Arabidopsis thaliana: one gene and its partners. The protein of the gene in region 1 purifies or fractionates together with the protein of each later gene. This does not show direct contact. Each region holds a gene or a part of one and is shown on either strand. Other genes may lie near its edges.

Evidence for each region.
Region 2: the proteins of ACO2 (region 1) and HSP60-2 purify together in Arabidopsis thaliana (affinity purification with mass spectrometry, with the first as the bait; one large-scale study listed by BioGRID). This does not show direct contact.
Region 3: the proteins of ACO2 (region 1) and ATMS1 purify together in Arabidopsis thaliana (affinity purification with mass spectrometry, with the first as the bait; one large-scale study listed by BioGRID). This does not show direct contact.

What each region holds. Positions count from the first base shown.
Region 1 is NC_003075.7:13,539,348-13,550,745, forward strand, and holds ACO2 (aconitase 2), read left to right. Parts: upstream 1-3,570; 5' UTR 3,571-3,729; coding exon 3,730-4,024; intron 4,025-4,332; coding exon 4,333-4,437; intron 4,438-4,515; coding exon 4,516-4,676; intron 4,677-4,781; coding exon 4,782-4,874; intron 4,875-4,952; coding exon 4,953-5,138; intron 5,139-5,337; coding exon 5,338-5,499; intron 5,500-5,598; coding exon 5,599-5,743; intron 5,744-5,832; coding exon 5,833-5,975; intron 5,976-6,273; coding exon 6,274-6,330; intron 6,331-6,412; coding exon 6,413-6,492; intron 6,493-6,584; coding exon 6,585-6,660; intron 6,661-6,765; coding exon 6,766-6,951; intron 6,952-7,032; coding exon 7,033-7,100; intron 7,101-7,183; coding exon 7,184-7,302; exon of another isoform or gene 7,303-7,512; coding exon 7,513-7,634; intron 7,635-7,770; coding exon 7,771-7,869; intron 7,870-7,948; coding exon 7,949-8,428; intron 8,429-8,510; coding exon 8,511-8,609; intron 8,610-8,685; coding exon 8,686-8,928; intron 8,929-9,011; and 3 more. Other genes in the region: AT4G26960 (uncharacterized protein), read right to left, coding at 245-306; AT4G26965 (NADH:ubiquinone oxidoreductase, 17.2kDa subunit), read left to right, coding at 370-481, 871-927, 1,078-1,130, 1,257-1,308, 1,590-1,652, 1,729-1,788, 2,203-2,245, 2,385-2,435 and 1 more; AT4G26980 (RNI-like superfamily protein), read right to left, coding at 9,466-9,870, 9,988-10,132, 10,328-10,405, 10,668-10,837, 10,924-11,051, 11,192-11,297. UniProt on the Arabidopsis thaliana protein: Catalyzes the isomerization of citrate to isocitrate via cis-aconitate. Contributes to oxidative stress tolerance. Involved in acetate assimilation.
Region 2 is NC_003071.7:14,071,915-14,081,826, reverse strand, and holds HSP60-2 (heat shock protein 60-2), read left to right. Parts: upstream 1-3,054; 5' UTR 3,055-3,258; coding exon 3,259-3,296; intron 3,297-3,547; coding exon 3,548-3,572; intron 3,573-3,652; coding exon 3,653-3,784; intron 3,785-3,946; coding exon 3,947-4,106; intron 4,107-4,231; coding exon 4,232-4,503; intron 4,504-4,583; coding exon 4,584-4,688; intron 4,689-4,766; coding exon 4,767-4,853; intron 4,854-4,954; coding exon 4,955-5,044; intron 5,045-5,141; coding exon 5,142-5,222; intron 5,223-5,318; coding exon 5,319-5,387; intron 5,388-5,466; coding exon 5,467-5,544; intron 5,545-5,655; coding exon 5,656-5,751; intron 5,752-5,844; coding exon 5,845-5,944; intron 5,945-6,037; coding exon 6,038-6,141; intron 6,142-6,223; coding exon 6,224-6,329; intron 6,330-6,443; coding exon 6,444-6,522; intron 6,523-6,598; coding exon 6,599-6,734; 3' UTR 6,735-7,060; downstream 7,061-9,912. Other genes in the region: YUC7 (YUCCA 7), read left to right, coding at 1-554, 680-1,051, 1,192-1,416; AT2G33220 (GRIM-19 protein), read right to left, coding at 1,326-1,422, 1,902-2,042, 2,124-2,195, 2,639-2,853; AT2G33205 (Serinc-domain containing serine and sphingolipid biosynthesis protein), read left to right, coding at 8,616-8,853, 8,931-9,007, 9,094-9,253, 9,339-9,363, 9,451-9,540, 9,624-9,795, 9,873-9,912. UniProt on the Arabidopsis thaliana protein: Implicated in mitochondrial protein import and macromolecular assembly. May facilitate the correct folding of imported proteins.
Region 3 is NC_003076.8:5,931,148-5,941,841, forward strand, and holds ATMS1 (Cobalamin-independent synthase family protein), read left to right. Parts: upstream 1-3,890; 5' UTR 3,891-4,056; exon of another isoform or gene 4,057-4,221; intron 4,222-4,608; 5' UTR 4,609-4,623; coding exon 4,624-4,973; intron 4,974-5,062; coding exon 5,063-5,150; intron 5,151-5,418; coding exon 5,419-5,546; intron 5,547-5,652; coding exon 5,653-6,044; intron 6,045-6,145; coding exon 6,146-6,309; intron 6,310-6,407; coding exon 6,408-6,488; intron 6,489-6,585; coding exon 6,586-6,752; intron 6,753-6,846; coding exon 6,847-6,952; intron 6,953-7,044; coding exon 7,045-7,295; intron 7,296-7,379; coding exon 7,380-7,581; intron 7,582-7,679; coding exon 7,680-8,048; 3' UTR 8,049-8,718; downstream 8,719-10,694. Other genes in the region: AT5G17910 (cardiomyopathy-associated protein), read left to right, coding at 66-1,145; AT5G17930 (MIF4G domain-containing protein / MA3 domain-containing protein), read right to left, coding at 8,984-9,367, 9,457-9,873, 10,031-10,132, 10,217-10,341, 10,441-10,523.

The DNA of each region.
Region 1 (11,398 bases):
GGGGAAACGAAGGGGGGCTCTTTGTAAAGGAAGGAGTGGGTGTGATGGAGAGGCGGGAAAACTGGAATTGGGAATTCGAGAGGCGGGAAAATTAAAATTAAGGTTTTGTTTTGAATAAGTAAGAATACGATACGTACGTTCGATAACCAGCTAATCCTGAAACTTAAACCGGTGTATTCCAATCCCTGGTTCATTTAATTAAACCGGTGATTAATCGGGTCGGATATTCTTCCACATTAAATACCCGTTACCGGGTCGGATTCTTTTTGATCCGGACGGAGCAGACTCGATTGGGGAACAATTCATTCTTCTGGGTGTGTTGTGTTTGAGTTTTTGGATCATACGAAGAAGAAATCGGCGGGAGAAGCTATGTCGAGGCTATGGGCGAGATTTGCGGGATTGTTCAGTAGCAAGAGTTTTATCGGAGTAGACAAGACTGGTAACAAGTACTTTTCCAGAATGGAGGAGATTGACGGATTCGGCGAGTATTGTTCTTCCAACCTCTTATTTCCTTAAAAAATCTTTTTTTTTGTTTGATTTATGTTGGAATTTGGTTATTGCGTGAAATTTATGTATCTCTTAAATTTGTCAAGTTGCTGAATTTCTTTGGTTTTCTCCGTACGATTTGATGAATCAGCTGTCTTTGCATATCGCGAGTTGCAGTGAAGCAAATGGATTTAGAAAAATTAATATCGTATTGTTTTAAAGAACATTGTCTGCTTCTTTTCATACATGAAAAGATTCAGCTAAGTGTGATCATGTAAAATGAAACTAACAGAGGTTATTTAGATGATCAAAACGAATATTAAGACTCTTGTAGAATCCATTTGTAGAGTAATATATTCTGATGTGCTTCTTTCTACTATCCAGTGAAGGAGAAAAGATGGGTCAAGTTTAGACGAGAGGAGGACCCAACCTCTATTCCTGGTAACTCTTCTTTAAAACATAAAATGGGTTGTTATATACGACCATATATTCATTTACTTGAGTGATGTCAGATCTGAAATAAGCACATCTATAAGATATATGGCATGTATACACGAATCTAGTTACATTTTTGTTTGATCAATGTTGTAGTTGAATGGATTTGTTGGCTGAATGGGCAGCGAAAAAGGGCTCCTACTCCTGAGGTAAGATAAACTCCTTTTTAACCAGAATTATTTGTGGTCAGCATAGTGTTCTTACCATGGAAGTTTTTCATTGCATACAGACTGGCTATGCTTGGCCTTTGATATTGGTGTTTGTTATTGGTTCAGGAAATGATTGAACTTGAAGCAAGGCGTGAGCGTGTAAAGCTTAATGTTGCTCGTAGGTGTTTCAGCTTATAAATACATTTTCTAAACTTATATCCTTTTAAACGTCTTAAAATTATTATTTCCTTGTGTCATTGATCCTTACTGCAAACAGTTTATGACTTTGAGGACTTGATTTTATGAACTTCGAAGTTGTGAATGAACAAAGTCAAGAATTATTTCTGTTTCTGTGTTAGCAAGTCAAGAAATCCGTATGCAAATTTTCCATTTAATATGTCGCTCAAGTTCAAGGCAAAACATTTATCGTTTTTCTTTTGCCTTTATTTCCTTGTCAAGTTCTCAAGAAGGAAGAGGAGGAGAAGAAAGCCAGAGTAGGCACCGGACGCAAAATCACCATTGGTAATTAACATTAGAGCCCAGAAAATTTGTTTCATTTATGAATTGGTAGCTTAATGTTCGGTCTCCTTGTGTAAAGGTAAAGTTGATGGTCCAGATTTGACAAGCTTTGTTCGCCAATTTCCACCAGATTCAAAAGGTATTACATTTTCTCTGCCAATAGATTAATTGAGTCACCATAGATGCTGATGACTAACTTCTTAGGAATCCCTTGTGTAAATTTGATAGAGATTATGATGGATATGCGTTTATATTTTTGTGGTGTTTGACCCATGAAATGGTGTCCATTGGCTGATGATTATAATAGTTTTGTGAAAGAAACATCTTTTGAATGTTCCCCATATAACCATTATGATTGCGGTAGCTTAAAAGGGCAACAAAATTGTTCTCATGCACCATTATATATCGTTTAAGTCATTTGTTGATTCAAGGGCTGAGGTTACTACAGTTGCTAGATTTCTTATAACCTTAAAAGAGATTATGGTTCGACCATAAAGTCGTGGAAGTAAGACTGACAGTTAAGTTTATTTCCTTTTTTTGTTAATGCTTTAAGGTGGTGAACCAGAGGAAGCTAGTGAAGAAGCAGATAAATCAAGGTGAGTCATCATGATTCATAATATCTCCGCACTAATCATATATGTGTTAAATCTTCTTACATTCTATTTTTTCCTGGATGCAAAGCACAACATCTTTCAGAAGACTAACATAACCACATGTTCTCACATTGCTTTACAGGGCCAAGGAACATGAACCCGAGATAGTTTCTGCAGAACCACCCGAACCAAAGTAAGTCTAGCCAACTTGACATTGTTAATCCTAAAGTTCAGATTCTAGCTCACGGATACGAAACATGACTCGTTCTTTCTGATAGTTACAGACTGCTACTATGCTGAAACTGTTCTCTATGAACATAAGTTATGTATTGTGTTTGGTATGCTTTAAATTAAACTAATGTTAATGTTGATGTTGATGATGATGCAGGACAACAGAGCCATCAGGATCTGGATCATCATTTAGGCCCGGGACATGGCAGCCACCATCCTAAACACATCTCTCTTCACGCAGATGACAAACCAACATACTATTCAATTATTTTGTTTGTTGTACTCTACACAACCGATTGGTTTGAGCCTTACAGATGAGCCATAAGACCAGAGAGCTTTTCAAGACCCTAAAATTGTGTCCTTTCACGCTGTCATTGAGGACTTAGAAGAGTCAAAATGAGAAGCCATCTTCTTATACTTTGTTTTGTTTAGGGTGTTTGTCTCTTGGCATAATGCTTGAGACTTTTAGCCTGCCTTGTCCTTCATAGCTGAAGAGGAGCCTAGCTACCTTTTGTTTCTCTTCGTTGACTTGAATAAAACAGTTTGATTGAATAACAGTTATTCATTTTCATGTCATGATGGTAGTGGATATAAGAAAAAACAAATACATAGAATAATTATTTTAATGTTTCAGAGGAGAAATCCTACTTGGCTTGTGCCAGACTCATAACCCAATCAAAACTTCGTATTACCAAAATAAGTGTAGTTCTAAATTTTATTCTGGTTTAGGCTGTAGTTATAAATTACTCATTTTAGTTTGTGAATATAAAATTACTTTCTGCAAAAGAAAATATTCTCATCTTTCGACGAAAAGCCAATTATTCGAATGTTCTCACGTTGGTCTGTAGCTGTAAACTTTATAGTTTATATAATAAGGTGTTCTACTGTTCTTATATAATTTGCAAGAACAAATAATATTAAATGCAAATAAAAAATAGTCAACGGTCCAAAGTGGATCATAAGCCGTCCGTTCGGTCGTCTGAACTTCATCCAACGGTTAAAAGAAATATACCTGACGTGGCCTTGGGCCATTGTATATTAGTAGTGAGTGTGCCCTTGGAAGGTTCTGTAAAATGTTTTATTCGCCTCTATCAGAAGCTTGACGAAATCTCTTCTCCGTCTCTCTCTCTCTTTCCCTCGTCCATTCCACGATCTTCTTCCAATCTCAAATCTCCCATTTTCTAGTGTTTCATTTTGATCCTTCTTCCTTCCTCTGGAGATTTCTCAAATCTCTTCAACTATTTTGATTTGCCGCCATGTATCGACGCGCCACTTCCGGCGTGCGTTCTGCCTCCGCAAGGCTTTCTTCTTCCCTCTCCAGGATCGCCTCTAGCGAGACAGCTTCGGTTTCGGCTCCATCTGCGTCGTCGCTTCGCAATCAGACGAACCGATCTAAGAGTTTCTCCTCGGCTCTCCGCTCCTTTCGAGTTTGCTCTGCTTCCACGCGGTGGAGCCATGGTGGGAGCTGGGGATCGCCTGCTAGCCTTCGCGCTCAAGCTAGGAATTCCACTCCGGTTATGGAGAAATTTGAACGGAAATACGCAACCATGGGTATGTCTGTTTGCTTTCTCTGACGTTCTAAGAATGATTGCTCTTAACTTGTGTGACAAGAATCTGTGTTTACCGCATATCTGCTTAGATCGATTTTTCGCTTTAAAATGATGATCTACTGATTCTGATATGTTCTGATTCAAAGTAAAACTAGCTAGATGAACATTTGATTTGCTCTTGCATTTTGGTTTATGATTTGTAGATTTAGTCTACTAAATTTCTTTTTTGTATATTCTAAAAGGACAAGCAAATTCATGTGTTATGTGTCAATTGAATTATGATTTTAATGTTTGATGTGAAAAACGCAGCTTCTGAGCATTCCTACAAGGATATTTTGACAAGTCTTCCTAAACCTGGTGGTGGAGAGTATGGAAAGTACTACTCGTTACCAGCTTTAAACGATCCAAGAATTGGTATGTTTCCTCGTGCCTCTATCTGTTTTGTATGTAATGGATTTCTGGTGAAGTTAATACCTTTTTGTGATAATGCAGATAAGCTGCCATTTTCTGTAAGGATACTATTGGAATCAGCGATTCGTAACTGTGACAACTATCAAGTCACAAAGGATGACGTTGAGAAAATCCTTGACTGGGAGAATACATCTACTAAGCAGGTTGAAATTGCCTTCAAGCCAGCCCGTGTTATCTTACAGGTTTGTAGCATATTTTTTCTGTACTTCTACACTGAAAACCCCTCCAGGCCTCTAAGACTGGTACAGATTAAGTCAGCATATGCTAACTTGTATTTTTTTGCCCAGGACTTCACTGGAGTACCAGTTCTAGTTGATCTTGCTTCTATGAGGGATGCAGTGAAGAATCTTGGTAGTGATCCTAGCAAGATCAACCCCTTGGTTAGTGAAGTTTCTTATTGCTTTACGGCTGTAATATGTTTAATCCAGCACTTCTCATATTTACCTGTATATATCTAGGTTCCTGTTGATCTTGTCGTTGATCACTCGATCCAAGTTGACTTTGCAAGGTCAGAAGATGCCGCACAGAAAAATTTGGAGCTTGAATTCAAAAGGAACAAAGAAAGATTTACGTTCCTTAAGTGGGGTTCAACAGCCTTCCAAAACATGCTGGTCGTTCCTCCTGGGTCTGGGATTGTCCATCAGGTACAAGATAACATGTGATGACAGTAAATTCTGGTTGCCTTGTTGAAAATTTTGAACAGGTTTTCTGAAACATAAGTGTGATTAGAGTATTAGCCTGTTTAATCTGTTTGGTAGACTACTAGATTTCAAGGGGTGCATGAATTTCATAATGCTGTCGAATGGTTCTGTTATGATAGCTTGTTATTATTTAATACTGCAGGTCAACTTGGAATACCTTGGACGTGTTGTTTTCAACTCGAAAGGATTTCTCTACCCTGATAGCGTTGTTGGAACCGACTCCCACACAACCATGATTGATGGATTAGGAGTCGCTGGGTGGGGTGTTGGAGGAATTGAGGCAGAGGCAGCAATGCTTGGTCAGGTGAGCTCATTTCGTCTGTACACCTTCACTTTTTATTTGTAAGTGTCAAATTTGCTTTGCCACTCATCTTAGTCATATGGTACTTCAAAAACTTATCAGCCCATGAGCATGGTGTTACCTGGCGTGGTCGGGTTTAAGTTGGATGGAAAGTTGAAGGAAGGGGTTACTGCTACTGATTTAGTTCTCACTGTGACCCAAATATTGAGGAAGCATGGTGTTGTCGGCAAGTTTGTTGAATTTTATGGTGAGAACCATGGCTGCGTAACTTTTTATTTCTGATGGACTATTATTTGGTCAGTATCCATGTTTTAACTTATTTCTTTCAATACGAAGGTGAGGGGATGAGTGAACTTTCACTGGCTGATAGAGCCACAATTGCAAATATGTCTCCCGAGTATGGAGCAACTATGGGTTTCTTCCCAGTGGATCATGTTACACTGGAGTACCTGAAGTTGACAGGAAGAAGCGATGAAACTGTGAATCCTCTCTCTCTCTCTCTCTCACTTTCTCTACTTTTTTATTCTTTCTTTTTTGGTAAAGTAAATCATCATGCCTAAAATGTGCTTTAAGTTTCAAGTTCTGGTACTTGTGGTTTACATGTGCTGAGGCTGACTATTGCTGCATAATCTGTTTCAAGACATTTTAAGGAGCTATCTGTAGACTTAGGTTGTTATGGTCTACAGTTTGCATTATCACGTGGCCTATTTTTTCTGTATCGTATCCTGTTTCCTCTGGTTTCTGTGACTCACATGATCGCCAACTTGGTTTATTTAGGTGTCAATGATAGAATCATATTTGCGCGCAAACAATATGTTTGTTGACTACAACGAGGTATGGACATTCTTAATCAGTTTACTGTATTTTATTTATTTTGACAAGATTCTCAACTCCAAATATCTGTACATTATTGCAGCCTCAGCAAGAAAGAGCATACACATCTTATCTGCAGTTAGATTTGGGACATGTTGAACCATGTATTTCTGGTCCTAAAAGGTATATTCACTTCGTTTTGATATTTAGAACTTTCTGATCCATCGCCGTACCTCCCTAAGGTTTCACTAATTACTTTATTTTCTGTTCAACAGGCCTCATGACCGAGTGCCTCTGAAAGATATGAAGGCTGACTGGCATGCATGCCTTGACAATCCTGTTGGATTCAAGGTGAGATGCAAGTTGTATTTACAACAAAAATCATTAAACAACCAATGACGTTGATTTGTTTTTTTTTTTTTGGATAAGTTGTAAGACTTTGCTTTTTGTTTCAAGGGTTTTGCAGTGCCAAAAGAAAAACAAGAAGAAGTTGTGAAGTTCTCATACAACGGACAACCTGCTGAGATCAAGCATGGTAGTGTTGTTATTGCGGCAATTACTAGTTGTACAAACACGTCAAACCCTAGTGTCATGATCGGAGCAGCACTCGTTGCAAAAAAAGCTTCAGATCTTGGCCTGAAGGTGAGTTTCCACCTTTTCTCTTTTCCCTGAGATCACTGGGTTCTGAATCCTGTTTTTACTGTAAGTGACGTTTCAATTCAGGTAAAACCATGGGTTAAGACAAGTCTTGCTCCAGGGTCTAGAGTTGTCGAGAAATATTTGGATCGAAGGTCTGTTGGAGTCAACGCTGTTTCCATCTGGATATCTTATCTGATCACGGAACATACATACTGAACGTTTACTTTCTCTGCAGTGGGCTCCGAGAGTCCTTGACCAAGCAAGGATTCGAAATTGTCGGCTACGGCTGCACAACATGCATTGGGAATTCTGGCAACCTTGACCCAGAAGTTGCATCTGCTATAGAAGGAACTGGTAACAACATCTTCATCAATACCAACATACTCTAAAATTGTCAGAACATGTTTTTTTTTTGTTCTCTTAGCATCTCCTTCTGCCATTTTCATTTTCTTTTCATCTGGAATCCTCGTCAATTGTGTTTCTCCACCAATAAATTAGTGCCCCTATATCGTCAGACTGAAGCTCACTTTTTGGTTGGTCCATTGTGCTTCCTCCGTGTCACAGATATCATCCCAGCTGCTGTGCTGTCTGGAAACCGAAACTTTGAAGGTCGTGTTCATCCACAAACAAGAGCAAACTATCTTGCGTCACCACCATTAGTTGTTGCTTATGCCCTTGCTGGAACGGTTTGTACTTTCCAACTTTGGATATCCTTAATTGGTGTGGCATCATAGTTCATCACCAACAAGATTGAGTAGTTATTCGCTAAGTAGTCTCATCAATCTTGAATTTGTTTCTATATATTGATCTCTACGATTACAGGTGGACATTGATTTTGAGAAAGAGCCTATAGGAACCAGAAGTGATGGAAAAAGTGTGTACCTGAGGGATGTATGGCCAAGCAATGAGGAAGTTGCTCAGGTACATTGGTGACATGCTTAGAGGATAAGCTATTCACTTTTAAATGTTCCTTGCTAACATTCCTGATACTCTTCCATAGGTTGTTCAATATAGCGTGCTACCAAGCATGTTCAAGAGCTCGTACGAAACAATAACAGAGGGAAACCCCTTGTGGAATGAACTCTCTGCACCGAGTTCCACGTTATATTCTTGGGATCCAAACTCCACGTACATTCATGAACCTCCGTATTTCAAGAATATGACCGCAAATCCACCTGGTCCTCGTGAAGTGAAGGATGCTTACTGCTTGTTGAACTTTGGGGACAGTGTAACAACAGACCACATCTCTCCAGCAGGAAACATTCAAAAAACTAGTCCTGCTGCAAAGTTTCTAATGGACCGTGGTGTGATTTCGGAAGATTTCAACTCATATGGAAGTCGAAGGGGAAACGACGAGGTTATGGCTCGTGGTACATTTGCCAATATCCGTATTGTTAACAAGCTCTTGAAAGGAGAAGTTGGCCCCAACACTGTTCACATTCCGACTGGAGAGAAGCTTAGCGTTTTCGATGCAGCAAGTGTAAGTTGAATCGTCAGACAGCTTCAACACATATATATAGATCCTTCTTTAAGTCCCTAACTCATTTCACATATGCTTTCAGAAATACAAGACCGCTGAACAGGATACGATCATCCTGGCTGGTGCTGAGTATGGAAGTGGTAGCTCTCGGGATTGGGCTGCAAAGGGTCCCTTGCTTTTGGTAAGCTTTACATTGTTTACAACAGTTGTCAGATTGTGGCTATGTCTTGTGATCGTAACAGTTAAGCACAAATTAGGGAGTGAAAGCTGTAATTGCCAAGAGCTTTGAGAGAATCCATCGCAGCAACCTGGCTGGTATGGGGATCATTCCTCTGTGTTTCAAGGCTGGGGAGGACGCGGAAACCCTTGGACTCACTGGTCATGAACGCTACACAGTCCACCTTCCTACAAAAGTTAGTGACATTAGACCCGGTCAAGACGTCACTGTAACCACTGACAGTGGCAAATCCTTTGTCTGCACCCTGCGTTTTGATACAGAGGTAAACTGGTTATATAGCAAACAAATTCAGTAAAATCAAAACTTCATTTGATCTGAGACTTGTTTTTGTGGGGACGTGCACAGGTGGAATTGGCATACTATGATCACGGCGGTATTCTACCATACGTCATCCGGAGTTTGAGCGCCAAGTGATCTCAAAGTGTTTTTCGCCTTTTGTTTTCTTCTTATGTTAAGATCCCAATAAAGCAAGTTTTGTGAGCATCTTTTTTCTTTCAGGTTACACTAAACCTTTGTTGGCAAGAGTTGCTATAAGAAAATGCAAAAATACACACTTCATTTTATAAACAGTTTAACGTATCTTTGACCGTAGCATCAATTGAAAGACCTGGAAACAAGATTAAACTGTTACAAACACTTTTCTCTAACCAGCCACTCTATTCACTTTTGCTCCCCAGAAACTGCTGTAAACTGATTGAACTTGACCACAGTAGAGAAAAGAGGCATGCATTCTTAGAAATCCACTCATCTTCCTCCTATATTTTCTTTGTCATACATTTTATGAAGAGAATCCATATTGTTAACTCTTGTGCAAAGATCTGGTAGCCTTTGATGCAAAAACCATTGCTTTGGCTTCGTCGCTTGACATCATCCAATCCCTCTCAGCACGACGTTGACGTTGCCTTGCATTCTTTGCACGTTTAGGGGCCATTCTTGCATCTCTCTCTGCAAATGCTAGTCTGAACTTCTCTGCTATTGACAGTTCATTGCTTAACGGGAAAGATGTGGGCTTCTGCACAACTCCAGTAACAACCCACGTCTTAGGATCAATATCTTTGACAAATGGTTCGTCCAGTGCAACATCTGGTAGTGCTTCTCGAGGAACCTCGTCTGCTCTGTACGCGACAAGTGATGGCTTGGGATTTACCACTATTCTTGGACACTCCGAGGATAACATCTCCAGTGAATCCTTATCAATTCGTGGCTGCAGAAAAAGCAAATTAAATGAGTACACTGAGTGGCAAGAGACACAGATGGAGAAAGTAGATTCTTTTGTTTACTGGTAGCTTATTAGTCAGTCTGTCAGAGGGACGATACATACCCAAACAAGCCAACGCAATGATTGACCACCATGGCCAATCTCTGAAGTGTCTATTTCTTCCCATGTTTCTCCTTCAACATTACTCAAGTTTGGCTTAAAAATACTCAAAGATCTGCGTGCCGTGGACTCACTGCTTGGGCATCCCCTGCAATATTAAATTTTCTCTCATTGCCTGTTTTATAAAGTTTGGTAGCCCTAGGCAAACCCACACACTGGGTTCAATTCTATCTTACTTTACCCAAATGATCACTTACTAAGTCATAAACAAAAAGACAAGCCACCCCAACAACAACACACTAAAAGCCAGTTCACTGCAGTTAGCTAGAGAAGTAAAATATACCCGCATCTAAGAGTCTCCAATGATCTGCAGTGTTGTACAAGCTCTAAGACGCCCATGGATGAGATTTTGTTGCACCGGCTGCATAACAAAATAAGGCAAATTATATGATACTTGAGAGCTAACGAGCACCACTTATCCAACATACAGAAGCCCCAAACTAAAGAACCAGCAAGACCAGAGCTACAAGTAAATAAACTATCCCAGGTTGCAAAACTCAAACGATACCCAACACAATCAGACATATGTGTGGCTAGCTTATCTTGTTCCCATCTCAAAGGAAACAGCTTATACAGAAAACATAGAGAAAGCATACTAAATTCTTAGCAAGCAACTATAATACCTAATGTCCACAGCTCGGAGAGATTTGCAGATTTCTGCCACTTTAGCTAAGCCAAAATTCGTAACATCTGAACCGCTAACATCTAGAATTTCCCAGGAACTGTCAGCCAAACAGATAATCACATCATCATCCAGCAGCTTTTTTCTTCTAGCAATTGCTGCAATCGACATCTGTTGCACATGAGTATGCCTTTGATTAGCAAATGGATATAGTACTAAACAGCTTGAAAGAAGAAAACACTGAAACCACAATTAACCTTGATGTCTGCAGGAAATATAACAGAGATTTCAGCTAAACAACGAATCATATCCTCCAAATGCTTCCCAATAACACCAAGACATGAGCTCACAAGAGATGGAGGTTTTGATTTCAGTGGAGACATTCCTGCGATTGAAGCAAACCATTGTCAAATTCCAACTCCTAATTACCACCAGCCATGCTTAGACCCAAATTCAGTAATCCATTCTCAGAACCCAATTTTAACCGAGCTCGAGAAAAGAAAGATTGTCGAAAGCGAGGCTTACGTGACGAAGATACATAAGCTGAAACAAGAATCTTATTCTCTGGTCCACGACCACGATTCGTATTCAAATCGAGATTCTTGAGCGATTTTGGCAGCTTTTCTTCCATCAAAATTCACCGCGAGATTTCTGATCGCCGGAGATTCTAATCGAGGAATATTAGCGGACGGCGGATTATATGAACTTCTAATTAGCTCAAACCGAAACATA
Region 2 (9,912 bases), on another chromosome or scaffold:
AACGCCAAGAAGTTCCGTTTGTAATCCTCGAGCGAGCTAACTGCATAGCTTCTCTGTGGCAAAACAGAACCTATGATCGTCTCAAGCTTCATCTCCCAAAGCAATTCTGTCAATTACCCAATTTACCCTTCCCCGAGGATATCCCGGAGTATCCAACGAAGTACCAGTTTATTGAGTACCTTGAGTCCTACGCTACCCACTTTGATCTCCGCCCCAAGTTCAATGAGACGGTCCAATCAGCTAAATATGACAAGAGGTTTGGGCTGTGGCGGGTCCAGACTGTTTTGAGAAGCGAGCTGCTCGGTTATTGTGAGTTCGAGTATATATGCAGGTGGCTCGTGGTGGCGACGGGAGAGAATGCTGAGAAAGTGGTGCCGGAGTTTGAGGGTTTAGAAGATTTTGGTGGTGATGTTCTTCACGCTGGAGATTATAAATCCGGCGAGAGGTACCGCGGAAAACGAGTTCTCGTAGTTGGATGTGGAAACTCAGGCATGGAAGTCTCTCTTGATCTATGCAATCATGATGCGAGCCCATCAATGGTCGTTCGAAGCTCCGTAAGTAAAATTCAGTAAATTATACCCACCAAGTTACGAAAAACAGAGCACCCTGATTCTTAGTAGCTCCTCTGTTTAAAACAGAGCATCTGATAGTTATACTCTGTTTTTCCTTGTTCGATCAGGTTCATGTATTACCGAGAGAAGTTCTTGGGAAGTCGACGTTCGAGTTAAGTGTAACAATGATGAAATGGATGCCGGTTTGGCTCGTGGACAAGACTCTTCTCGTTCTCACAAGGTTACTTCTAGGGAACACCGATAAGTATGGGCTCAAGAGGCCTGAAATTGGACCGTTAGAGCTGAAGAACACCGCAGGTAAAACTCCCGTGCTAGACATCGGAGCCATTTCAATGATCAAATCAGGAAAGATCAAAATCGTAGCGGGAATAGCTAAGTTTGGTCCGGGAAAGGTCGAACTCGTGGATGGTCGAGTTCTGCAGATTGATTCAGTGATTCTTGCCACTGGTTACAGAAGCAATGTCCCTTCATGGCTTAAGGTAGACAAAAGTATTATCTTTTTCAGATTTTTGTCTCAAAAGATAACATTTTATAGGACCATAGAATACCGGTATTGATAGTTATGGGAAGTTTGATAAAAACTAAGACGTTGATTGGTGATTGATTTATTGTTATGCAGGAAAACGACTTGGGTGAGATTGGGATAGAGAAAAACCCATTTCCAAAAGGGTGGAAAGGGAAGGCTGGATTGTATGCGGTGGGATTCACCGGAAGAGGACTCTCAGGTGCATCGTTCGATGCAATGAGTGTAGCTCATGACATTGCCAATAGCTGGAAAGAAGAAACTAAGCAACAGATCAAAACTGTCGCTACTCGCCACCGTCGTTGTATTTCACACTTTTGATTTTCACTGTTTATACGAAAACATATATGAGAAGAGGTAAAAAAGAGAGGATCGATAGTGTTATGTGATGTGAAAATCAAAGAGATAAGCCCACTCCATGAGAGTATAACTGTGAAATGTGTTTGAGCTTATTTTCTTGTAAGGAGGATGTGGCTCCATGTATTTAACGTATTCTTTAACATTCCAACTTATCTTTTGTTAGCAAATGTGTTTGATTAGAGCTGATCTAGAAAGTTTAAAACATGATTAGTTTAAACAAAATATATGAACATGTGTCTGAAACTGATTTCGTCATTGACAGAAATAAGTGAATGAGGGAAAAATACCGAAAACATTCCTCCGTACCGTACCAGCAATACATGAACTGTGTATGTATCATTTCTCTTATTATACGATGGAAATATAGAGACAACAAACATCAAGGTTCTAAAATGCTTAAACAAACATTCATTCATCATCATCAAAAGGAGCCATTGAAATTTTACCAGACATCAGGACGAAGCTCTCCGGTAGCTGGAGGCATCCAACGACCAGAATTGTACACGTTTTCACCGACTTTCCATCCAGGAACATCCTTCATCACATCCGCCTCGTATTCTAGATACTTCTTCCACTCAGACACAAACCTATTTACAAATCAACACGTGGTGATCCAATGTGAGAGTTTGTACCACACAAGCAAACATAACTTCTTTTGTGAATCCTACCTTTCATCTTCTTCAGCTTGAAGAATCGGTAGAATTGCTCTACGTGCAGCGTACTTCTCTTCCTTCAACGCCCTATCATCACAGCAATCTTCATTAAAACTTTGGAGTTGATACATTGTGCTCATTTTGACACTTTTGTCATCATTATGCAATTGAGAGTCTAACAATAGAAGACTATTAGAGAATGTCACTTACACACACCAAGAAAGATAACACTGTGTTGTCTTATTCGTTGCAAATTACTCCAAATCGACACTAATCAAGCTAAATAACTCACAATGTGACCATCTAAAAACCAATATGCAACTAACCACTAGTATATCATCTTGCAATTTGATTGCTTTCTTCATCACAGCTCAAGAGATCGTTAATTAGTAACCAATTTCGAGACTAACCACACAAATTTATAAGCATCAATCCCAAATTGTCTTAAGATTCAATCCCAAATTACTCAAAATTTCACAATAGAGAAAAGCCTAACCAAACTCAAATTCCACATCTCATTATCTAATTACCTGCGGATTTTGTTGCCCTGACCAACTTGGTACATGCCCCAAGCAAAAGCACCGGAAACGGTAAGGAAAATAGCCATGGCGCTAGGTCCCGTGTTGGAGATCCGGCGAGCATATCGGACCGGCGCGAATCCACCAGGTGGTGGACCATCCTGAAGCAACGGCATATCCTTCACACTCGCCATTCCTGGCTTCTTCCTTATCATCGCCTCCGTCATCTTCTTCCTCGATTGATCCCCAAATCGATCTTTGATTCGTTAATCAGTGTGTGTTCTAGGGATTCTGAGAAAGACAATCAGAAATGAAATGAAATGAAAAATCTTTTTTTTGGTGACTTTTTTTTTAAAATGTTGTAATAATGAACTGGGCTTTAAAAGGCCCATATTAAAATAGTACCGGGTCAAAACTCGAACCGGATCCAAAACCGGAGGCTAAAACTCGACCAAGCAATGATGAGCTTGGAGAAAACGTAAAACCCTAAACCCTACTGCTTATAGAATCTTCGACGATCTGCTTCATTTCTCCTCATCTACGAGTGAGAGAATTTGTCAATTTAGCTTCTTTAGTTCGGTCTGATCTGAATTAATTGCAATCTTCTCGGTTGTGTGAGAGAATCAATCACCATGTATCGGCTTGTCTCCAACGTTGCTTCCAAAGCTAGGTAGATCTATTCGACTTTTTGGTTTTCTTTGTGTATATGATTCCAATGCTGCTTTATTTTCTGTGAATTTGTTTCTGATTGGATCCTCGAAATCGGAAAGTTGCGAGAAACTGTTGGGAATTGAATCGGATTTTGATCGGATTGAATTGAATATTTCTCTGCCATTGGAGAGTTTAGCATCTTCTATTTTCTTTGTATTTCTGGAAGTTGCTTCATTTATTGATGGGATTTATTTTTCTTTGTTTCAACAGGATTGCCAGAAAGTGTACAAGCCAGGTTCGTGTTCTTCATTTTGTATCTAATTTGTGGTTTAGCCGTTTGTGGGTATGTATTGATGTGAATTTGTGTATTGTTAGATTGGAAGCAGGCTCAATTCTACTAGGAATTATGCAGCAAAAGACATAAGGTTCGGTGTTGAAGCTCGGGCTTTAATGCTTAGGGGTGTTGAGGATCTTGCTGATGCAGTTAAAGTCACTATGGGACCCAAGGTATAAACTTATGTTTCAGATAATTTCTGTGTAAGAGACTTGTATTGTAAGTGAATCTAGTTAAAAATAGATAACGTGACGACCTATTGACAAGTATCAACAATCGTCTGTTTTGTTACCCTCACACTCTCTGATACTACATGTCTAAAACCATTTTTGAAGGGTCGTAATGTCATCATCGAACAAAGCTGGGGTGCACCAAAGGTGACAAAGGATGGTGTGACTGTTGCCAAGAGCATTGAGTTCAAGGATAGAATTAAGAACGTTGGTGCCAGTCTTGTGAAACAGGTTGCTAACGCCACAAATGACGTAGCTGGTGATGGTAAGTGTTCCCTTTCAATGGATTAAAACGTTTTTTCTGTTTTTGCTAATTGGGTTGTTAGTCTCCTATCTACTCATATTAATCGGTGTTTTTGTATCTGACAAAATATATGGTATGCGTTACAGGAACAACGTGTGCCACAGTCCTTACTAGAGCTATCTTCACGGAAGGTTGTAAATCAGTTGCCGCTGGAATGAATGCAATGGACCTAAGACGTGGTATCAAATTGGCAGTTGATACTGTTGTGACGAACTTGCAGAGCCGAGCACGCATGATTAGCACCTCTGAAGAAATCGCCCAAGTTGGAACAATATCAGCTAATGGAGATAGGGAAATTGGTGAACTGATTGCAAAGGCTATGGAAACTGTCGGCAAAGAGGGAGTGATCACAATTCAAGTGAGTTGAATTTTATCCCTAAATGTCAAATTATTTTGCTTATTCCTTAAGGTGACCAATGTTATCATCTCTTGATTCAGGATGGCAAGACCTTGTTTAATGAGCTGGAAGTTGTTGAGGGTATGAAGATTGACAGGGGATACATCTCCCCGTACTTCATAACTAACCCGAAAACACAAAAATGTGTAAGGATTCCCACCTTGTTACTTTATCAATTTAAGGAATTGCGGATTTAATTTGCTCTGAATGAATATGTGTTGCAGGAACTAGAAGATCCTCTCATTCTTATCCACGAGAAGAAAATTTCCAATATAAACGCAATGGTGAAAGTATTAGAACTGGCCCTCAAGGTATAAACAATTTGGCGATTTCTTCACTGTCAATAGTGTCTGATATTCATTAAGTTACTTTGATCTGAAGATCGAAATTTATTTTCACTGCCATTTTTCAGAAGCAAAGGCCGCTGCTGATCGTTGCTGAGGATGTGGAGAGCGATGCTCTTGCCACCCTAATTCTGAACAAACTTCGTGCTAATATCAAGGTTTTTCTTTTCAGCCTTTTGTTATTTGCCTTTTCCTTACAACGTCTTAGTAAAAAATTAATTTGATTGGATTGATGTACATGGTATTGCTTTATAGGTCTGTGCTGTGAAGGCCCCTGGTTTTGGAGAGAACCGAAAGGCCAATTTACATGATCTAGCTGCCCTCACTGGAGCCCAGGCATGCCCATGTTTCTTTTTATAATAACTGCCAAGACCATCACACCCACACTAATCGGATGAGCCATAATGTGTCTTTGGTGATTTCACTTTGTAGGTAATAACAGAAGAGTTGGGTATGAATCTAGACAACATTGACCTCAGTATGTTTGGAAACTGCAAGAAGGTTCGTTTGGTCCAATTCCTTCTGCTTTCTCTCTTTCTCCCTTGTACCTTCTGATAACTTGGTTTTCATTTGTTAACAGGTAACGGTATCCAAAGATGATACTGTTGTTCTCGATGGGGCTGGTGACAAGCAAGCAATTGGGGAACGATGTGAACAGGTTAGCGTGTTTTTCGCTTTTTTATCATTTAGTGGTTCAGTGTCATATACCTTTGCCCTTTTTTCCAACTGGTAGTTTTAATATGTTTTGAATTTTTATTAAACCACGCAGATACGATCCATGGTTGAAGCAAGCACTTCTGATTATGACAAGGAGAAGTTGCAAGAAAGGTTGGCTAAGCTTTCGGGTGGTGTTGCTGTACTAAAGGTAATGTACACCTCTTGTGAACATCAGACTAATAGGCTATTAATGCATTATTAGTTTATTACTAATGTCGAGATTACTCATATGGGTTTTTAGATTGGAGGAGCAAGTGAGACAGAAGTTAGTGAAAAGAAAGATAGAGTAACGGATGCTCTAAATGCCACTAAAGCAGCCGTAGAGGAGGGTATTGTTCCAGGTATAATCTATCCCAAATCTAAAACAAAATTTGGTTGAATCCCTTAAGAAAATTGCGTGAGAAGAGAATTATATTACTTTGTGTGTATTACAGGTGGTGGTGTTGCTCTTTTGTATGCTTCGAAAGAACTTGAGAAGCTTTCCACAGCTAACTTTGATCAGAAAATTGGTGTTCAAATCATTCAAAACGCACTCAAGGTGTTTCTCTCATCACATTGTTCATCCTCGCTAGCATAAACAGCTTCTAGAATCTTACACACAAAATCTTTCTTTGATGCAGACACCTGTTTACACGATTGCTTCCAATGCTGGAGTCGAGGGTGCAGTTGTCGTAGGCAAGCTTTTGGAACAAGATAATCCTGACCTTGGTTATGATGCTGCTAAAGGTTACACTCTTATATGCATTAGATAATTCACTTTCTATAGTTCTTGATCCACCTTGTTATATATTTCCCTATATTCCGAAATCTGAACTAGCTTCTTTTGGCATTTACTTTCAGGAGAATATGTGGACATGATAAAGGCTGGTATTATCGATCCTTTGAAAGTGATCAGAACCGCATTAGTTGATGCTGCAAGGTACACAAAGATTGAAAATTGGTTGTCCAATTTTGTATTTTATTGCAATGTTTTGCTAATTTATTCTATTGGTTAGTGTTTCGTCTTTGTTGACAACGACGGAAGCAGTTGTGACTGAGATTCCAACGAAAGAGGTAGCATCTCCGGGTATGGGCGGTGGTGGCATGGGCGGCATGGGTGGCATGGGCGGTATGGGAGGAATGGGTTTCTGAGGAGAACTATAAACCCTGAGTAGGGTTCTTTGGAATCTGTTGTGAGAGATGCTACGGTTGGTTCATCCACAAGACACTAATGTATTCTTTAATCATGATTGGTAGAGAGAGACCTTCAGATTTTCCGTGATTTTCAATTCACAAACGATTTATAAACTATTTTGAAGAAGATCCTTTTCCGATTCATGCAAATTTCTTCCAAAAATAATTCAGATTAGAGAGTTCAGTGAAACATCAAGTAGGTTGTGTTTGCGCATATGGAGGAGATTCCTTAGTTCTCGCCAACTATCACCAAACCCTTATATCTTATTAACACGATATTTAGCTGTTTATTTATATGTGGTTCAAGTAACAGACTACTTATTTCAAATAAAAAATGGAAAAAGCTTTTTTCATAGAACGAAACAAACGATATAGTGTAGTTTAAAGTATGTTACCCGAAAAAGAAAGCAAATCTACTTAACACGGTCCACAATTCGCGTGGTGAAGAAGGTTATAATTGGGTCCCAAAACATTCATTTCCCCCCAAAAAAAGTCATAATTATGAACCAAACTCTTTTTGTCTTCACGTCTTTGTCCGTTCCATAACCATAGCTTGCCCTACTTATTATAGCAGTAAGCCATAATCAAGGAAACCGTATTTGTATGTAACTTAATATTGTGGATTGATTACAGCTTGGAGGGAATTGATTCAATTTGGCCAGTTGGTCAAACGCAATGGTATAAGTCCACCGAACTAGATGGCAAAAACAAAAACAATTTGAGAATGTTCTTAAAAGTTCCAGTTCAAATGTGTTGTAAATAGTCAAATTCCTTTTACGAACGATATAAAAGTAGTCAAATAGAGATAGGGAATAAAGAAAAATACTTATCTAGATGATGAATTAGCTTAACGAGAAAACTATTAGTATCTGTTTTGGCAAGAAAATTTTATGTCTCGGTTGATTACACACACTTTTTAGTTAAACTACAAGTAATCAATCATAGATTTTACTTTAAGAAAGTTCCACAAACACGACGTGGCTGTCCATTATAACATAACCTCGTGGTCATGGAATGTTTCGTCTTATTTTATTTTTAATATTACACAATGTTCAAAGTTCTCAATTAGCAAGTTTCATGTGGTGTGATGAAAATCATTAACCATAAAAACCAACACTCAAGCGGAAATCCAACTCTCTTAAATTAAAATAATTCACTCAAAATTTTATTTTCATTTGGAGATAAAAATATAAATTGGTCAAAAGCAAAATAAAGATAGAGGTCATCAAATCGTACGGCTAGAAACAGAAGTGCACAGAGTTATTACGATGAAAACGTTACACAGAATCATTTTCATACACCAAAAGCTCTTTCTTTTTGTATTTTAAATCGAGTTTCGAACCGCTCTGCTTCTTCTTTACTCTCTGCGTGATTATCGTGTGAGAACATTGAACTCACACTTCAACTCTCAAGCTTCTTCTTCCTTCGCCTTCTTCTCATTCATTTGCTTCTGTGTCTAATTTTACATAGCGAAATTCCAGCCATAGCCAAAAAAAAAAGGGTCAGATTTTTTAAACGGATTTTTTTCTCTCTCTCTCAATTACTGATAATGAGTCTAATTGAGAGTTTCTCTTTTGACCTGTTGTTCTTGTTCTTGTCTTTAGATTCTAGGGATGTTCTTAAAGTCTTGGTTGATTACATTATGATCCTTCTAGAGTTTGTTCTGTGTCATCAATCTAAACCAAATCGCTCATATTCTTACAGAATAAAAGAATTGATTTAGACACTTTTTAGAATTTTGTATACATTGGATCAAGTAGCATTCAAAAAATAATTACTGTTCTCTACATTTTCAGTACTTACAGGTTCTTTAATTTCAGTTTCTTGTAGGTTTTGGCAATGAATGGATCAGCGGAAGCTACACGGACAAGACCATTGCAGATCAGTCCCGGTGATTTAGAGGCTGCTCATCTAGATGAACTCATAATGGAAATAGAACAGAGGAGTCTCTATTATTACCAAGAGAAAAACAAGTCCTTGAGAGCTCGTTATACCTACGGAACCATTTTCTTGATCATAAATCTATGCGCTTGGTTTATCCGTGACTACGCACAAAAGGCTCTGGCCTTGCTTCCATGTATTTTTTTCATAAATCTTTTGAGATATATCTAATGTTGAAGTTAAAGATACTTTAAGTTGAAATCATCATTGCAGATGTCAGCAGTTGTGGACCAGAAGGAAGTCGTTGTTTCCATACGCTTGGAGTACTCCGCGTGAGTTTAGGATGTTTCGTATCCTGAAATATCAAATCTTTTGCTGATAGAGTCATACTTTTAAGTAATTTGGTATGTTATATAGTTTATCCTTAGCAATGAAGATATTTTACTTTGTTATGTTCCTCTCAACATGGAACACAATGAAACTCCACGAAGCTCAAAACAGCTGGCACTCGGATAATTGGATCTTTAAGTTTTTTCTACTGGTTATAGTCATGGTAGCTTCTTTCTTCATACCTCAGCTTTACATCCAAATTTATGGTATGCTTCTGTCTCACTATAACTCTATAATATTCTCCATTTTATCTAATTGGTTTGGATCACGACAATGATGTTTTCCTTACAGGAGAAATCGCTCGTGTTGGTGCAGGGTAAAATCATCTTTCAAGTTATACTCTTCTTATAAGATAAGAGAATAAGAGAAACACATAATTCTCTTACCATTTCTATTGTTTCAGGATATTTCTTGGTCTGCAACTTGTAAGTGTTATCGAATTCATCACTTGGTGGAATAACTATTGGATGCCTCAAAACCAAAGTAAGCAAAGGTAAGCAAGTATCAGTCATTACAAAAGCGTTTTCTCTATGTGGATATATCACCAATTGGCTAACACTACTGTGTTTTCTGCAGCTGTTCTTTTGGTTTGGTCATGTCAATAGTTTTCTACATCGGTTCTGTTTGCGGGATCGCAGTGATGTACTACTTTTATGGAGCTTCTACTGCTTGTGGCCTCAATATATTCTTCATCTCATGGACTGTTATACTTTTAATCGTTATGATGGTTATTTCCTTGCATTCAAAGGTACATTTCCTAAGTTTTGCTTAAAGGTAGCACAAAGATTGATCTCTGCTTCGAATACTGATGCTTTGCATTAAAAGGTGAAGAATAGAGGTCTTTTGTCTTCCGGGATTATGGCTT
Region 3 (10,694 bases), on another chromosome or scaffold:
TTTATTCTTTATACAATTTGTTAAGCGGGAGATCTGTTTCTTATCGCTATGTTGCGTTATTGCAGGTACCAACTCGTGCAGGTCCTGTGAGTGTCGTCTTTTCCCGCAACATCACTTTTCACGAGTATCACGATGCTCCTGAAGATACAACCGAGTTATCTTGTTTGACGTCTGATACATCCTCTTCTCCAACAGAATCTCCCGAGTACACGACACCTATGGTTGGTGAAGGCTCAAGGGCAGAGTTTTTCCAAGAGGATATTTATGAGGAGCTAGACCATGTGGTGGAGCGATTAGAGCAGCTTACAGACTTGCATGCAATATCTCAAAGTCCTCCTGAAATTATCACCGAAGAGGCAGACGAGATAAAAGAGATTGATGAAGGATTGTTGTCTGAACTTGACTCGATTGGAGACTTCAATGTTAAGGAAGTTGTGACAGATACTGAACCTGGGCCATCTTCGATAGAAAATGCTATGAACCAGGCTGTTGTAGAGAGCATGGAAAAGCAACCAAAGTCACCACAATCAGATAGTAGGTCTGGAGAAATCATGTGTGCAGTTGAAACCAAACCATCGGAGTCTTCAGTTGACGAAAGTTCTATTGATGAAACAAACGTTATAACAACATCCGATGTTTTACCTGTCGTAGCTCGATCACTGGAAGAATTTCCGCAACCTTCTGAACCAAAAGAGGGGATTTCAATGGAGATAATCTCTGAAAGCGTGATGATTCCCACAGAAGCTACTGGTCCTGGTAATGTAACAGTAATTGATGAAGTTGTGACCGAGGAAACGAAAGCTGAGACCACCGAGAAAGAAGAAGAAGGAGAAGAAGAGGAGGAAAGTAAACCAAAAGAGATAACAAAATCTGATGTTTTACTTGTCGAAACTCGAGCACTGGAAGAATTTCCCAAACCTTCTGAACTAAAAAAAGGGATGGCAATGGAAGTAATCTCTGAAGGAGTGGTAATCCCCACAAAAGCTGCTGGTCCTAGTAATGTAACACTAAGTGATGAGGTTGTGACTGAGAAAGCAAAAGCTGAGACCACTGCAAGCAACACTGATGCAAATGTCCAGAGTCCTGAGTCCAAAGAAACTCCAGAGAATTCGGTGGAAACTATTGCAGAGCAAAAAGGAAAGTAGGAGAAGAAGACGAAGTCCAACCCTTCAAGCTCGAGTTCAAGCTCAAGCTCTAGTTCGAGTGACTCAGATTGAAAATTAAAGGGTAATACATCATCTCAAACTCAAGTAAATATATCTTTGTTAAAGGGTAATGATAGGCACTTCTGGGTTTTGTTTTTTTTCATCTGTGTCCTCTGTTTTAAAAGGGGCAAGAAGTAGCCGCTAATCATATTTTTATACCAAGTTTTCTCCTTCCTTTGTATTGGTTTTCTTGTGTGTTTGTGTTTCCTTTTCTCTTCTTTCTTCAGCTTTCATATTTATCGATTTGATTGATTTGTATCTCTTGAAACCAGAGAGGTTTTCTCAGGGTTTTGGATTGTGTCTTTAAATACTTTTCTCGCATCTTTTTTGGGGGGTTTGTTATTTGTATTGGACCTGAGAAATGGGAAAGGTACTGCCGTTTGGATTTTTCTATGAACATTGTAATATAATGGACTCGATCGAAGATGGTAACACCGTTCAGATTACAAATAGTTTTTGGTGGTTCATATTTAGTTGTAAATCTCTTATTAACATGAAGCATTGCCTCTCTTTTTTTTTTTGGTAAAAGATGAACTTGTGTTTGAGATTTTATGTAAATAAAGTATCCAAGTATATTCATATAAATCACCAACTTTTGATTCAAAGCATAATGTGTGTGTATACAGTTTTTATTGTTTCACATGTCTAAAAGCATGCCTTTCCATAGTTTAATCATAAAGTTTTATAAGCCAGCAATAAGAATACTTTTGGATCTTGTGATTCGTGTATCATATGATTACCAAACTCAAGATGCCAAAAAAGGTTGGTAAACAAGTATTTTATTGATCCAATAATTTGTTATACTAATACACATACGATTTAGTTCAATAATTCCTAAAGAAAAGTTTTTTTGTTTGTTTTTCATTTGGATTGTTAAAGTATTCAATTCTTTATGTCGTACAACAAGTAAATAGAAAGAAAAAAATAGAGTGCGAGTTTCACTTTCAATAAATGCTTGTGTGATTATCTTTATTTGTGTACATACTAGATCTACATCCACCGACAAACCAGTGTCGAGGAAGCATATGCAACTGTCCTGCAGATTTAAAGTCTCATGTAATTAAATGTTGTTCAATTTGTTTGTTGTGTGATTACCAGTTTGATGTATAGTTAAAGTTACCAAGTAATAAAATCATCAAACATACATATAGTACTAATTTTTTGTTTATCACATAAACATTTTGTTGACTTTTTGGTGTTGTTTGCAATAGCATCTTCTTGATAAATTCCTAGTGAACTCAAAATTGACCTACACCAGTTCCATACAAATAGAAAGATACTCCAAAACTAGTTGTGGAAGTGGTTGAATATAATTTTATATTCCAAACTTAGAAAATTCATGTTAAATTCCGCAAAAGAGCTTATAACGTAGTTTATGCACGATATGGTTAAACTTCCTCAGTTGCTATAGAGTTAAAAAAAAACAAATATTTTGAAATTGGTAACTAGTACGTGAAATTTTTTAATGCAGACTGAAAGAACAAAATAAAACTTAAAATATGTTTACAAAAAAATATTCTTTCATGATTTACGCAAACCAAAAGTTACATTTAAGGTTAGGAAAGAAAAAATGACCTAGGAAATTAAAACAATGAGGTTCGTTGATAAAGGTCAAGAATCAAAGTTTGGTAGCCAAATTACCAGCAAACAAAAAAAGATTAAGACCATTAATCCATCGCGTATACTCATTGTCTTATGAATCTTAAACAATAATATTATATTATATACAGTAGGTCCATAATTTATGTTTCTTTACCTACTCTATTTACCAAAAACATACATAGTTTTTATCTGACTTACACAAGTGTACTAATGGCCAGACAAGATTGTTACTTGTTCAAGTAAAATTGTGTTACCAGATATTCAACTTTCTATATATACATATAGATTTGACAACTATTCGACTTTCTATATTTAACTGAAAGAGTTGTATCACTGAAATTTGGAGTATTGTTCCCTGTAAATAATTCGATTTGTTTCCAAAACGCTATGGAACAGGCCTTGATTTTGATACTCTTTCGTGCTGACACTTGAAACGGCGTCGTATCAATAATAGAAGAAAACCTTACTGTGGAAATAATCAAATTGTGAATCTCCACCAACCTCAATGGGTCCCATTGCCACCCACTAATCTCCCCACGTACACCAACTCCCCTTCACGTTTTAATCTCTTAATATACTTTTATTATAAGTTAATTAAATGATTTCAACCTTAGTAATACTAACCATTAATTATTCATTTCTAATCTCCAATATTTTTTTTGAAAAACCTTTCTGTTCAGATATTTTCGTCAATTAATCAAGATCTCATTCATAAATTAAAAAAAAAAACAAAATTCAAGCTAAAAATACATACCCAACAAAAATTCCTTAAAAAAATTACTTATGGGGCATCTGGTAATTTAATTTTCCTATAAAAGATGGCAATATTAATTCAGTTTTTTTTTTTAATTTACCAATATGATACTTTAATTATATTTCTTACTTGTTAGCTCTACTAATGCACACATACTTATTTCTACGAATATAAGAAAAAAATACTGAACTCAAACAATAGACAAAAAAGAAATAATCCTACACTCAAGTGTGTTGAAAAATAACATCAAATTCAGAGAAAATGCACATACACCAATAATATAAATAAATAGGGATATTTAAAATAATAAATAAAATTGCGAAAATATCGAGCACCACCAGATCTACAGAAATGACACAGAGCCCAACGATGATGTATCTCGTTTATTTTCGCTATAAATAAACTCACACAGCCCACTCTTCTTCCTCGCTCTCTCTTTCGCCTTCTCTTAGCCTACCCTTTTTCCTTCCTCCTCTCCGATTCTTCCTCCGTCAGGTTCGTCTCCGACTTTCTATGTCTTCCTTACGTCTCTCTTATTTAGCTCCCTTTCCTTCCTTCTCCACGTTATTATTACTACTTCGCTTTTAGTGTGATTCGTTTCATTCTCGTTTTTTTATATTCCTCGATCTGTTTGCTCATTTGTTGAGATCTATTCGCTATGTGAGTTCATTTGACTCAGATCTGGATATTTCGTGTTGTTCGATTTATAGATCTGGTTTCTGGATCTGTTTACGATCTATCGTCATCTTTCCTTTGAAAATGATTGGTGTTTCTGTGTTCGTATTCGTTTAGATCTAAAGTTTTTGATCGATGAATGTCGCATGTGTTTTTATCTGAAAGTTTTCGATTACAGTATCAAGTGGTGGTAGTAGTAGTAGTAGACTCAAAAAGCTGCACAAACTTTTTATACACGTGAATTGTGATTGCTTTACGGTTTTCTTGGAGTTTGTTAATTAAATCATTTAATATTAAGAAGTTTATGAATTAAGAGAACGTTATTTTATACTATGATTTTGATTTTGATTTGGTTTGTGTGTTTTAATGCAGTAAAAGAAAATCAAAATGGCTTCACACATTGTTGGATACCCACGTATGGGCCCTAAGAGAGAGCTCAAGTTTGCATTGGAATCTTTCTGGGATGGTAAGAGCACTGCTGAGGATCTTCAGAAGGTGTCTGCTGATCTCAGGTCATCCATCTGGAAACAGATGTCTGCCGCTGGGACTAAGTTCATCCCTAGCAACACCTTTGCTCACTACGACCAGGTTCTTGACACCACCGCCATGCTCGGTGCTGTTCCACCTAGGTATGGATACACTGGTGGTGAGATCGGCCTTGATGTTTACTTCTCCATGGCTAGAGGAAATGCCTCTGTGCCTGCCATGGAAATGACCAAGTGGTTCGACACCAACTAGTGAGTCTTCATTGATCTCTTGTGTTCTTTTTGTTGACATTGGTCTTTTTGAGTTGTGGACTAATTTGATTATGCTTTTGTTGATGCAGCCATTACATCGTCCCTGAGTTGGGCCCTGAGGTTAACTTCTCTTACGCATCCCACAAGGCGGTGAATGAGTACAAGGAGGCCAAGGCTGTACGTATCATTCTTTACTAATATCCGTTTCTTAGGAAATTACTGTTTGCTCGTCTAATTAACTATTAGAGATCATAGGCTTTAGTTTGAGGATATAGTGTTTAAGCTTAGATTCATTGAGTGGTGTTTCACTGAGGATGCTAATATGCTAGGAAGGTCTCGGATGCATTGAATATAAAAACCGTTAGAAAAGTCATCTGGCACTGGTTGTCTAAAGTAGTTTTTTTTTCTACGAAGTTCTGATCTGGTTTACTTGATGTTTATGCAGCTTGGTGTTGACACCGTCCCTGTACTTGTTGGCCCAGTCTCTTACTTGCTGCTTTCCAAGGCTGCCAAGGGTGTTGACAAGTCATTCGAACTTCTTTCTCTTCTCCCTAAGATTCTCCCGATCTACAAGTAAGAAATCACTTTATTGTTTTTCTTTATTATGCCATCCGTATCCTTGATGTTATCAATGATCCTCTGACATACCACTGATATAATGACTTTGATTTGTGTACAGGGAAGTGATTACCGAGCTTAAGGCTGCTGGTGCCACCTGGATTCAGCTTGACGAGCCTGTCCTTGTTATGGATCTTGAGGGTCAGAAACTCCAGGCCTTTACTGGTGCCTATGCTGAACTTGAATCAACTCTTTCTGGTTTGAATGTTCTTGTCGAGACCTACTTCGCTGATATCCCTGCTGAGGCATACAAGACCCTAACCTCATTGAAGGGTGTGACTGCCTTTGGATTTGATTTGGTTCGTGGCACCAAGACCCTTGATTTGGTCAAGGCAGGTTTCCCTGAGGGAAAGTACCTCTTTGCTGGTGTTGTTGATGGAAGGAACATCTGGGCCAACGACTTTGCTGCGTCCCTAAGCACCTTGCAGGCACTTGAAGGCATTGTTGGTAAAGGTAATTGTTCTTCCAAAATCATCTGCCTTTTACCTGACATTACTAGGGAATTATTGAAAAACAACTGTATGAAATGTTGATCTGTTGTCTTTTTGATGCAGACAAGCTTGTGGTCTCAACCTCCTGCTCTCTTCTCCACACCGCTGTTGATCTTATCAATGAGACTAAGCTTGATGATGAAATCAAGTCATGGTTGGCGTTTGCTGCCCAGAAGGTCGTTGAAGTGAACGCTTTGGCCAAGGCTTTGGCTGGTCAGAAGGACGAGGTATTTTACCCACATGCTCCCCTAGTAGTGGACCCTTGAATTATCTGTAGTGTAATTGATCCAGAAAAATCTAGAACTCAATATTTTTTTTCTTTCAGGCTCTTTTCTCTGCCAATGCTGCGGCTTTGGCTTCAAGGAGATCTTCCCCAAGAGTCACCAACGAGGGTGTCCAGAAGGCTGTAAGTTTGATTTCAAACTGATGCACTGTGCTCACCCAATGGTTTATTTTCCTAATCTTGTATTGATTGAGATAGTTTCTCATTCTTGTTATCTCAGGCTGCTGCTTTGAAGGGATCTGACCACCGTCGTGCAACCAATGTTAGTGCTAGGCTAGATGCTCAGCAGAAGAAGCTCAATCTCCCAATCCTACCAACCACAACCATTGGATCCTTCCCACAGACTGTAGAGCTCAGGAGAGTTCGTCGTGAGTACAAGGCCAAAAAGTTAGTCTCCTAAATTTAATCCTTGGGCTTATGCGTCACACATTTTCTTAAATTGTTGTGATGCTAATGGTTTCTTTAATCTCTCTTTTACTAGGGTCTCAGAGGAGGACTACGTTAAAGCCATCAAGGAAGAGATCAAGAAAGTTGTTGACCTCCAAGAGGAACTTGACATCGATGTTCTTGTCCACGGAGAGCCAGAGGTGAATTTTTTTTATTATTCTATGTTTTTGCCTGATATTTCTAGTAATCCTTGGTACTGTTTCTGATGAGACATGTTTTCACAATTTTGTAGAGAAACGACATGGTTGAGTACTTTGGTGAGCAGTTGTCTGGTTTTGCCTTCACTGCAAACGGATGGGTCCAATCTTATGGATCTCGCTGTGTGAAGCCACCAGTTATCTATGGTGATGTGAGCCGTCCCAAGGCAATGACCGTCTTCTGGTCCGCAATGGCTCAGAGCATGACCTCTCGCCCAATGAAGGGTATGCTTACTGGTCCCGTCACCATTCTCAACTGGTCCTTTGTCAGGAACGACCAGCCCAGGTACATAATGTTACTATAATCTAAAAACAAACATAAACACCAAATAAAGAACAAAACACTAAGACAATCTTGGAATCATTGTAGGCACGAAACCTGTTACCAGATCGCTTTGGCCATCAAGGACGAAGTCGAGGATCTTGAGAAAGGTGGAATCGGTGTCATTCAGATTGATGAGGCTGCACTTAGAGAAGGACTACCACTCAGGAAATCCGAGCATGCTTTCTACTTGGACTGGGCCGTCCACTCCTTCAGAATCACCAACTGTGGAGTCCAAGACAGCACCCAGGTTTGCTTAAATAAAAACTACACATAACGAGTCTCATGTAGTGTAATGCTTTCTCAGTTGCTCATAACTTATGTGTTTCTGGTGTTTTTTTTTTGCAGATCCACACTCACATGTGCTACTCCCACTTCAATGACATCATACACTCCATCATCGACATGGATGCTGATGTCATCACCATTGAGAACTCCAGGTCTGATGAGAAGCTTCTTTCCGTGTTCCGTGAAGGAGTGAAGTACGGTGCTGGAATCGGTCCAGGAGTCTACGACATCCACTCTCCAAGAATACCATCTTCTGAGGAAATCGCAGACAGGGTCAACAAGATGCTTGCTGTCCTAGAGCAGAACATCCTTTGGGTTAACCCTGACTGTGGTCTCAAGACCCGTAAGTACACCGAGGTCAAGCCTGCACTCAAGAACATGGTTGATGCGGCTAAGCTCATCCGCTCCCAGCTCGCCAGTGCCAAGTGAAGAAAAGCTTGATTTGAACAAGGAAACGTTTTTTTTTCTCTAAAATGGTTGTGTTTTATTTGGTTTAATAACTTTCTTAAAAATATTTTTAGTCGAAGGTAGATTTGATGCATATGGTTTCTTTCTTGTTGAGAGAGAGAAAGGCTATAGCATCCTTTGGATTTGATGCAATGTTTGTGATTTTCTTTTTGTCTCCAATATATTTCTCTGATGGAATGTCTTTTTTCTAAAGTATCTTGAAAAGGAATAAGAGGATTGATTCTTATACAAATACTTTTGTTTGCGTTGTCCTAAACTCACTACTTTTTTTTATCCGACGCAATCAGTGCTTTGTAGCCTGTTCTTGAAGTAGGCCCCTTTGTATGTCTCTATCTGGCTCCTGTATCAGATTGTTGTTTCCCTTAGATTTCTTTATTTCGTTGGCAAAAAGAAAATCTGAATTGCCCCACAAAGAGCGTGGTGGCTGATGTTAGGTTGCAGTCTCATGGTCCACCACTTTAGACTCGAAGATTTATTTCGCTTGGAGAACATCTTCGTTGATGTTTATGTATCATTTGAACTGTAGACTGTAGCCAAGTAGAAGGTTTTAACTCTGTAAAATCTGAGATGTTGTATGTTCTCAAGTTTTATCTCAGTAATTCAAGTCTCTTTGAGTTCAAATAAGAAAAAGATTGTAGCTCGGTCTCGAAGAAAAGTTCTTGCTCATTTGCAGTTTTTAATATTATTTTTCTCTCTAAGATTGTGTGAAAATAACCTAGTTAGTAAACCAAATTCAATTAGTGTAAAAGAACCTCAACCTTTTAAGATCGTTTTCAGTAAATTTTTATTGAAGATGGTGAATGATAAAAATCTTACAAAGTAGAAACTTTAATTAAATTAGAAGATAGTGTGTACAACAAAAAGAGACTTCAAAATTGTTGGTGGCAACAACAGGATCACATGAGTAATCCTTCTGCATTGTTAAGTGCTTCTTTAGCTTTCCTGAATTTCCCATAGATTGCCTTGTTATTTTTCACAACATATTCCTTCACAAAGAACTTGATGCCATCTCGTAGAGCTTCATATTCCGGATTCAAGGCTATGCGTGTGAACAAGTTCCACACAAGATTCTCAGGGTGCTCAAAGATGGCCTCGAACAGCATTCGAAAGTGCATGATTCGTTTTGGAGTTAACTCCACTGGATTTGCTAAGTCAACGGATTTGAGAACAGCAAGAGAAAGATTGAAGGTTACAATAATCTCTGCCACGAATTTCGCCAGATGCATCGATCTCTGAAGTGACATCGACTCTAGTTCTTTAAAATGGTCCCAAATGCAATACTGCAGGAAAAAAAACACAAGAGATGATAAGAGAAAAAAGAATGGTTACATAACCATGGCTTCGGTTCTATTAGATAGTAAAAACGTACCTGCAGTGTAAACTTATGATTTTTGTCGTGCTCGCACAACTTTGAAGCAAGGACTGTGTAGAACTTGTTGAATGCTTTCTCCTGTAAACAGCATTCAACTAGAACCCTCATGATCTCTCTGTCCTGTTTTCCTGGCAAATCCAATCTAAGAAGTTTCTCGAATGCATCGATGTAGTCCTCACTACTCATGATCACACAAAATATTGCTTTTCTGGAATCTGTATTCATCCTCTGTGCCTCAGCTAGCTTTAACATTTTTTGGGCCTCAACAACCTCTGCATCCATTGTTTCTGCTATATCTTCAGCGGTGTTTGAGTCAACCACCAAATCGCCAGAAAGCCACCACTGACCCTTCTTCTCGGGGTCAAGCAGCTTGCTCCATGTAAGCCCTCTTAATAACACTTCTTCTACTCTCAACTGGGTAAATTATAAAAAAAACGGACAAAAACAAATGCATTTTAGTCAAAACTTACTAATCCAAAAGCCACCTAATAAGCAGAAGCATACATGTTTATAATTGTCATGATGGAATCCATTTTATAACATTTCGAGGAATAGAGCGCTAAAATATTACCTTTTGAAGCCACTTCTTTACCCTTGTGTTCTGGACGGAATCCTCTTTGGCTCTCAACTTGTTGTTCTTTATTGCGGAAATGGTTTCAAGCATCTTTTCCATCTGCAAATTCATTGAACAAACAACTTTAAAAAAATCATAGTATAACATTTTCTTCCCGAAGACAATTTTTCATAGAATTCATACCATCATGTTATTCATTTGTGTCTGGCCATCGGAGGAGGTTTTCAATTCATTTGCCTTGTTCTGGATGCTGATGATGAATGTTTTCATAGCCAGAGGATCATCACTTCTTATTTTCATTCCACAGCCTATTCAGAGCATTATCAAGAACTGAGAGACGGAACATAAACATCTCAAAACACCTAAAGCAGCTATCGAAAGATAATAATGATAATAATAAAACTTACAATCTAAAACAGTGGTGATAGTGAAAGCATCAACTTTAGTCAGCCGTTTCCCCAATGTCATTAAGAAATCATATATAAGATCACTGCAAAACAAATATAGAGAGATTCATATTTCATCCAAAGAAAATAACAGAAAAATATCATTTTTGTTTCTGTTACGTGAGCGGACTAGTGATTGGGTTGGGTGATGAGTAAAAACATATTAAACATATCGCTGTAGGAAAAACTAAAATCCATAATACATGACAATCACT